2 linked regions of the Nothobranchius furzeri genome follow. The protein of the gene in region 1 interacts with the protein of each later gene in a biochemical or structural test. Links are inferred from orthologs where the notes say so. Each region holds a gene or a part of one and is shown in the gene's direction. Other genes may lie near its edges.

What was found.
Region 2: the proteins of synaptosomal-associated protein 23 (region 1) and stx2b form a complex in vitro, tested with the Homo sapiens proteins (2 studies listed by BioGRID). The link is inferred for Nothobranchius furzeri from reciprocal best matches to the Homo sapiens genes SNAP23 and STX2.

The regions. Positions count from the first base shown.
Region 1 is NC_091758.1:23,386,014-23,390,383, forward strand, and holds the start of synaptosomal-associated protein 23, read left to right. Parts: upstream 1-1,479; 5' UTR 1,480-1,698; coding exon 1,699-1,706; intron 1,707-4,370. UniProt on the Homo sapiens protein: Essential component of the high affinity receptor for the general membrane fusion machinery and an important regulator of transport vesicle docking and fusion.
Region 2 is NC_091757.1:34,784,562-34,788,843, forward strand, and holds the start of stx2b (syntaxin-2), read left to right. Parts: upstream 1-1,354; 5' UTR 1,355-1,616; coding exon 1,617-1,646; intron 1,647-1,716; coding exon 1,717-1,794; intron 1,795-1,857; coding exon 1,858-1,957; intron 1,958-2,486; coding exon 2,487-2,561; intron 2,562-2,635; coding exon 2,636-2,709; intron 2,710-2,799; coding exon 2,800-2,908; intron 2,909-4,282. Other genes in the region: adgrd1 (adhesion G-protein coupled receptor D1), read right to left, coding at 1-32, 134-187.

The DNA.
Region 1 (4,370 bases):
ACACTGTCAGCTGATATGTTGGTTGGCTCATTGCCTAGTATCTTTGGAGTCACCTTGAAAAGGCTTTTGTGGTTTAAAGCGTAAAGCTTGGGAATTACACAGCAGATTCATTGCTAGAGGCTCAGATTTCAGAGCATCGCTTAGAAGCTCTATGGAGAAAAATGTATCTGGCGTTCTGTCTTCATGTAAAATATGGGGGGGGGGGGGGGTCTGGGTGAAGGGTAAATGCTGCACTCATGTGGGGAACTTGAGCAGTGCTCTTTTTTTCTCCTCTCTGGAGTCCTATGACAGCACCATCCTGTGCTGCATTCAAGTACTCGTCGTTTTGGTTTTAGATCACCCAAAGCACAAGAAACATAACTACCAAAAGTTTTACACAGTCTGGTTAAATACAGTGTTTGTTCCTATAAATAAACGAATTTAATATGATTTTCATTCCTCTTTTTAAAGAGCTAAAACTAAATACCTTCAGATATAAACAAGCTATTAAAAAACAAATATGACTGAATTTTGATGTAGTGAAAATAATGTGAAATTTTTGAACGCAAAAAAGATTTATAATTATCACAGTTAGCTTCTGAACTATTTTAAACGTGTTTTTATTACTTTTAAGAACTTCTGAAGCGTCTCACCTTGAAGAAAGCTATATTTCCGAGGGTACATGAATGCACCAACCGACATACTTTCAAGTCCCCAGACGACGAACTCAGTGGAGGAATTCTGGTCAAACCAGTGCCAAGTTTACATACCGTGGCGAAAGGAGGAGTTGCGAGTTCGGTCTTTTCACAAGGAAGGTTAACAGTAAGTATTAACAGACCTGATAAGTATCTCTTAACGTTGTCCTCCCATCAAAGTTTGGGTGTTGTCGTTAGGGGGTTGACAGGGAAGCGGAACTAACAAAACTAGCAAGCTAACAGCACGTTAGCTAGGTGAACAAGTTGCCCAGAGGATCTATTTCCTTTATTAGAGCTGGGGAGCTACTGCAACTTTTTGGACAATGTAAGAAAACTTCATAAAGTTTTATTTTTCCTCTGTTTAAACTTATTTATGACGTTTTGATTATTGTTAAGGGCATAACTTTTGCTAACGTGGGTGTGTTATTTTCAGGCTCAGGTGTTTTGGTTAATATGTCTCTTTCAGCTGAACATCACCTGTTTCTCAGGTGATACTTTCTTGTCATGTGAGTGCACTGTTTTACAATATTTGACTTTTGTATTGCTCTTTTCGACATAACCTTTTGTCATGGCAAAGGAGTGGAAACAAAGTAGCTCCTATTTTAAATATTGCGGAAATAAATAGCCAGCTGTCAAGTTCACACTCAGTGTTTTGATACTTTTGGATTATTAGCGTCATCTATAAATCTGGAAATAAAAGGTCATGGTTCAGGCAATGGAAATACACCATGATGTCATTGGTCAGCTTGTTTTTGAACACTGGTTCTCGGTTTATTTACCTATTGAAATAAAAACAAATTAAACAAATTTCTTGTAAGGTTTTCTTATAAAGGTAAGCATAAAGTTGACCAGAGAGTAAAAAAAAGGCAATAAAAAATACGAGGTGAACGTGATGAGAATAAGAAAAGACGTCACTTTGTTCAGCATTAGTTTAGATCTGGAGGAACAGGTTTGAGTAGAATAACCAGAAACGCTTTTCTCTGTTGTTTGTCACTTTCTGTTGTTGCTGTGAGGAGTCTACAACATGAGCAGGTATGTCCCTAAAACTTCTGCATAAACCTTTACATGTGCGCCTGTTAATTCAGGTCTCTGGGTTATTTTCATGTCTATATTATAGTCCTCACTAAAACTAGATTATATTAAAAACTTAATTAGATTAAGTATTTTATAAATCCAGCATACCTGCTTGATGTGTGCTTAACCAGTTCCCTAAAAGGAGTTATGCAATATCTACACACGAGTCTGAGTTTTCACGAACATGGCGATCAATAACGTACGCAATACATCAGCTGGACGTTATCATTTGAATTTTCCTACACCTGAAGCATTTTTACCTGAACTTTCTTCTAATTCCTGACTAACTGAGCATGAAAAGTTAATGTTATTTAGAACGCCAACAAACACAGAATCACTGTTAAAATGTGTTACAACTAGAAAATGTTCATTGATTGGATTTACAGCACAAGCAGGTCTACGGGGTGCTCTAAATTCACTGGTTTTAAATTAATTTATAGGAATGCAGACAAATGACCACATTTATTTAAAGGGTAACATCATTAGAGAATCATCCATATTTGCTTTGTTTAATTTTTTGATAATGCAGCTCTGACCTGCTGATACAAATTTTGGCAGTTTGCAATTAACCCCATTTTACAGAATACATCTTTCAAATTTCAGATCAACGGCCAATCAACTGATTTGATTTTGGGGTGCGTCTCTAAACTTACAATCAGCTCAAACTGACCCTATTGACCGGTTACATTTCTGTTGTTTACAGCTCTTGTGTATTGTACGTGTAAATAAATTTAGTGTTGGAGTTGTAAAGTCACACCAGTGCTCTGGGAAGAAAGAAAAAAAACTGTCACGAGTTGTGTGAACCTTCTGCGCTGTGGTCTAATAAAAAAAGAAAACAAAAAATGCAGAGTCAACAACATTAAATCCCCCGAACTATCTGCCAAGTAGACTATACTTTTTCCGTCTCATTTTTTTTCCTGCTTTTAACAGGGAATCTTGAAGTCCAGAGGCCGTTTGCAAAACAGGAAAATGTCACTTGAACTATAAAGGAAAGCGGTCTGACAAGAGCAGAAACAGAAAAGCGGATAGAGCTTTACTTCCTCTATGTTATCAAAAACGTTTGGGTGGGAATAAAAAAACGGGCCGTGTTTATGCCTGTGTCAGAGAGCAGAGGCTTGAGCCTTTTCCTGTGACAAACTAGCTCTCGTGTCATGTGAAAAAGTCTGTTTAAGGCTGCTGCTACACCAGATGTGTCACTCCAGCCTTAAAGATAGTCTCTTTTAAACTGTTGTCATTTTTCTTGTTGTGATCCAAGTTATTAATACCATTTCTGGGCCTGGCCTCAGTGACACAACACCTATCACCTAATGCTAATCATCTGTCTTCATCCTCCATGTTTGCTCAGACTTTATGAAGTCCGTTCATGTTTTTGTTAGATGAAAACTAAATTCAGGGTGCGAAACGTCCGGACGTTGACGGTTCCTGCTGTAGTCACCAGCTTTTGATGACGGTGGCGTTTAAATTCAGATCTGGACAGAGCCTGCTCTGAGCTGTCAGCCAGTGGTTACGGTTATCCTGATTTGCTCAGCAGCTACATGTTGAGTCACCAAACTGGCGTAAGTGTCCAGCCTAAATGGGTTTAGCTGAGATTGCATAATTAACATTTAGACTCATGCATGTTGGACATTTTCTCCACTTCCTAGTGTCGTTGTTTCTAAAACAGAAGAAAACGGGTAAACAAAAAGAATAACTGATGAAATTAAAAGCTCAGAATGCTGAAAATAACCCAAACTGGTGTGCAAAGTTAAACAAACCGAGCAGAAGTCATTAATAATTAACTTATTACTTTGGGAGCCACCAAGAGCGACGCTGCACAGCAGTAATGTGGAAAAACAACCTCATTTTAGAAAGGAAAATAATCACATTGTCAAAATTTTACGACCTGCACATGATTTATTTATTCATATTTGTTTACAAAATCTGATCAGCGACATTAATCAGGCCTGACATTGTGTCTCTGTGGAGTTTAACACATTAAGGAAACAACTTCTTACAGTTTGAGTTTCTTCTTCACTCACACATCTCCCTGTTCGGCCCTGACTGCTTTAAGCTTTACTTTGTGCCGTCAGAAGCCACCAGAGCTGCAGTAGGGCGTAATAGTGGGAGTAAAGTATAAACATGTGAGGCTACTAATATCAGAATAATACACACAGCTTAAGTCACATCAGATGTGGCCTTTATTCATGTTTTGTTTACATGGCTGTGTCTTGTTTAGCGTTCGCTTTTAATGGAGTTCATGTCAGAAAAACACCGTCTGATGTTCAAATTCAGTCCAATTAGTGATGAAAACATTTATATTATGTTTCTTTGGTTCATGGATGTGCTTTACTATTTACAGGGTAAATACAAAACATTGTTACACACCTAACCCCACAGCATCTACATCTGTATAAACAATCATGCTTTTATTGATTTGTCACTCAGTAATGCTTAGGATTTTGATCATTTCTCTTTTTAAACCAGAGTAAACTCCCGTTAAACATTTAACAAGTATAAATTATCAAAATATCTTTTATTCTGTCTCAAGGCTGATTTCTTTATTTCAACCTTCAGCTTTCTTTTTCCTTCTCTGATGACTCAAGTAATCGTTTCAACTTCACTTCATCTTCGCTTTACACACAC
Region 2 (4,282 bases), on another chromosome or scaffold:
TGCTTCTTATTTGGCAGTGCCTGAGCGTAAACCTAGAGGAGAAAATCCAAAGTTATTGTTTTAATAAAGGCAGCCTTGTTCTTCTTCTTCTTGTAGGACCTGATTATGAGAAAACAAACTTTGCTCAACTCACCTTAAAACAGGAAACAAAAGTTGTAAAAAGCAGAATTTTCAAACAAAATTCCATACTTTAGAGAACTTTAGAGAACTTTACCATGAGTGTTTTAATTTCAAAATGGTTTGATTCCCCAGAAAAAGATGAATCCATAGGGGGATGGGCATTGATGCGAGACGATCTGATTATTCAGGGCATCCAAAGTCAAAAACATTACAGTAAAAGTCTAAAATCGCATTAAAACTGTTCAGAGATCTGATGAGATGCAGGAACGCTTGAAAAGTTTTCCCGTCATAGCTGATTCGTCTATCTTTAACTTCCACGCGTAGAGTTTTAATCCTCAGCCTCACACAGCTGCTTCTTGGGAGTTTCTGTGGCTGATTCTGGAAACCAGAGAGGAGCTCAGAGGAGGCTGGTGCTGGACGCAACGTGGGAATTACAGAGCGTGATGTCACTTTTTGGACCATCTTAAGGAGGGGTGTTCACTTTGTGCGTAAATGGCACGGTGTGTGCGTAATTGTAGATTTCGCGGGGAATTAATAAGATCAGGTTTTATCCAAATAAACACGTGAGACTCCAATGCAACCATGATGCCTCCTCATTTGTTTGGGGTTTGAGTTAAACTGCGGGACACTACGCAGAACATGTGGGTGTGGTCTTTTTCTAATCGGCCCAAATCCCAGATATAGATTACAGCACGCTGACCAATTTGGGGGCTGACAATTAACCCCCCCCCCCCCCCACACACACACACACACCACCACCACCACCAAGGAAATAAATAAACAAGTACTGATAAGTGAATACTGTCATCATAAATGTGAAATCTGAATTTTATCGCTTTAATGTTGTGAAACTTCTCAGATCAGCTGGACACCAGTCCATTGGGCTCCAGCGGGCTTCCAAAGAGAGAATGGATAAGTAAACAGCGCCCCCATGTGGCCAGGTAAATGAGAACAGCTTGTGTGGCAATTCAATCCGATCCCCGTTATTATTTATTCATTAAACCTTCTCGTGTGACCTACAGGTGCGCCAGGGTTTCCTCGGGTAGGCGATAGGACTCGAGTAGCAACAGAAAGGTGACTCTTTAAACGTCATGTTATCATATATGCCGGTTTATGGAGACATTAAACGTATTTCCACCGCGCGCGCGTGCGTGTGTGTGTGTGTGTGTGTGTGTGTGTGTGTGTGTGTGTGTGTGTGTGTGTGTTGTGGTGGGCGTATCCTCGTCGAGGCGCAGTTGATGATCCTACGCAGAGTGAAATCAGTTTATGGGATCTTTTATTGATAATGTATATATTTAGACGAACAGATAATTGGAGTTTCGCGTTAAAACTCTGAGAAACGAGGACAACTTCCTTCTTTTCTTTCCTTTTCTTTCTGGGACTGTTTCCAGCATCAGCTGATCTCACACACCGTCTGATCGTCGGTCCTCGGTGCGCTGCGTTAGTATGACGGGGTGGATGATTTCTTAACACTTCCTGAGCGGGAGACCGGGGGGATGAAGGACAGACTGGCTGAGCTGACTGCTGTAAGTCTATCACAGAAGTCAGACACATAAAAACGTCACTTAAAACACAAAAAGTGCTATTTTTGCGCAGAGTAAGACGCAAACTGAGGAAGAGGTTGCTGCAGCGGTGGATTGCGGGGATGGCTTCATGGACGGCTACTTCAGGAGGGTGGGTATGGCTGTAAACTCTTTAATAACCTAGACATGAATGACTTATGAAGTTATGATGTAGGTAGAGGAGGTCAGAGGACTCATCGATAAGATCTCCCACCAAGTAGAAGAGGTGAGGAAGATGCACAGCATGATCCTGTCTGCACCCAACCCAACTGATGGTAAGAATCAGATCATGGTGCTTTTATTCAAGTTCTTTATATTACTTTTATGTTTGAAGTGACAGAGTCAAACTGTCTGTGCAGAATTAGAAACAATAGATGCCTCATTTCCTCAGAAGCTCTCAGGCTGGAAACCTGCAGGAAACCACCCAAAACCTCAGAGACTTTAAACGTTTGAGTCTGGATTGGACTGGATACCTTTGAGAGAGTATTATTCAAAGTTTTAAAATGCTTTGACGCTAAATTGAGAACATATAAAGCAACAGTGAGGCATCATTTCCTGGCCCCTCTCTGCCTTAGGAGCTGAGTCCTCCAAGACAAATAAACCACAAATCACAACACCGCAGCATCATCTGTAACTGTTTACCAAAGCAACAAAGGCCTTCTGACCGCTGCTTTATTGCCTCAGTTTTGTTGCTAGGTGCCAACATGAAATCCCAGTAAATCCAATATTTACAGAAGAACTCATTAGGTAAATTACTTCTTCTGTGTAAAGGCAAACTGACGTGAACTTTATTTCTATTTGAAGGTACAAAAGATCAGCTGAGTGCACTGACCAGTAATATCAAAGGGAATGCCAATGTGGTGCGGGCAAAACTAAAATGTGAGTTTAGGACAAACGTTCATGTTGTCATAATCTGGTAATGCTGTAATCATAGCTCTTTTCCTCCTGTGAAGCCATGGAGCAAAGCATGCCAAAGGACGATGCTGCCAACAGGTCATCTGTCGACTTCAGGATCCAGAATACCCAGGTAGGTTTTCGCTCTTGTACACAAGTGTTGCTTCTGAAGTGCCTGCAGCACATTCTCAGACTCTGCTGCCATGTTTCCACTTGTCTTCAGCACACTGTGCTATCAAGGAAGTTTGTGGAGGTGATGACTCAGTATAATGAGACTCAAGTGTCCTTTCGGGAACGGAGCAAAGGACGGATTCAGAGACAACTGGAGATAAGTGAGTCCTGCAAGGATCTGATACCTCTGAGTTGAATCTAGAAGTACATTAAAGGTACAATAAGTAGTAGAAGAAGAAGAAGAAAATATCATTAGGAATTTTTAAGGAATTCTACAGTGAAATAATCTCAAAACAGTCTGATGTCTCAACCAGGTTATGGTTAAACACGTTTCCTACTCAGCGGCTTGGAGGGGTTGTTAGTTTTTCTTCTTTCAAAGGGCCAAAGAGGGACGTAGTTACTGTTTACAATATGTGTGTACAGCGTTTCCCATTCTGTGCCAGCTAACGCTGCAGCGCCAGCATTTGTGATTTGACAGCAGCATTTTGTAAATATCTTAAGCCAGCAACCGGAGTGACCCAGAACTTATTTCTTGTACCCCTAAGAAGTGTTTTCTTTTGATCTAATATCAGGTGAAGCAGTCCAGAGGCTAATGTTGAGCTAACCATGCTGACAGTGAATTAGAACAAATTAGCCAGCTCTAACAACATCTCAAGATACTTAATTCAGTTACCAACAACTTGATATTACAGCAAAAATATTTATCTACTTTCTGTGTATGACTCGTCATCTAGAATCTTCTGGTGCTGAGCCGTAGCTCGCTACAGCCATGAAACTCACAGAACGGGAGTGAGAAAGTCCCTCTTGTGTTTGTAAAATGGGCTGCAGTAACCACGTTTGACCACAAGATGCTGTTCTTACTTCAGTCTTACTTCACACACATTCAAAGGTCTTATGTTGCCTTTCATGTTAGAGATTTGAACTACAATTATTAAGAAATGACAAAATTATAACGTTTTGCTTAAACCACATGCAATCTCTTTCAAACTCCAGAGAGAGTGACATGAACGACTCTCAGCTACATTCACATCAAATGTTAGCTCAACATCCGGGAAGCTGACAGAGTGAAGGTGATGTATACTTCTCCATCATCTCGAGTGTGGAGGCACACACACACTTTGATGGAGGTGTTTTCCCTTCAGACTTCTCTGCCACCTGGGAGAGTTGCATAGCAATTCCCCTTCAGGACAGCAGAGGGCATAGCGCTTTTCTGGGGTATCCTGCCACCATCTCGGTCATGCGCCCATTTCAAAATAGTGTATCTACTAATGTGTTCATGGGTTTCAGAGACTTTTTAACATGGATAAATCTGTCCCTCGTTCTCCTCCACCTGCTCATGCAATCCGTCCAAAAAAAAATGTTTGCTGCGTATCTTTGTACTCCTTTAATGAATGTTCATACTTTTGGACGTTTTCCACGAAGCTTTCTTCAATGTCTGCAGCTAAATAACTTTTTAGGTTGAGGGGGCAATGGCGGTGCTGTTGACAAATGAAATGGAATCACAAAGCAAACTTTGATCAAAACAACAATCCTTC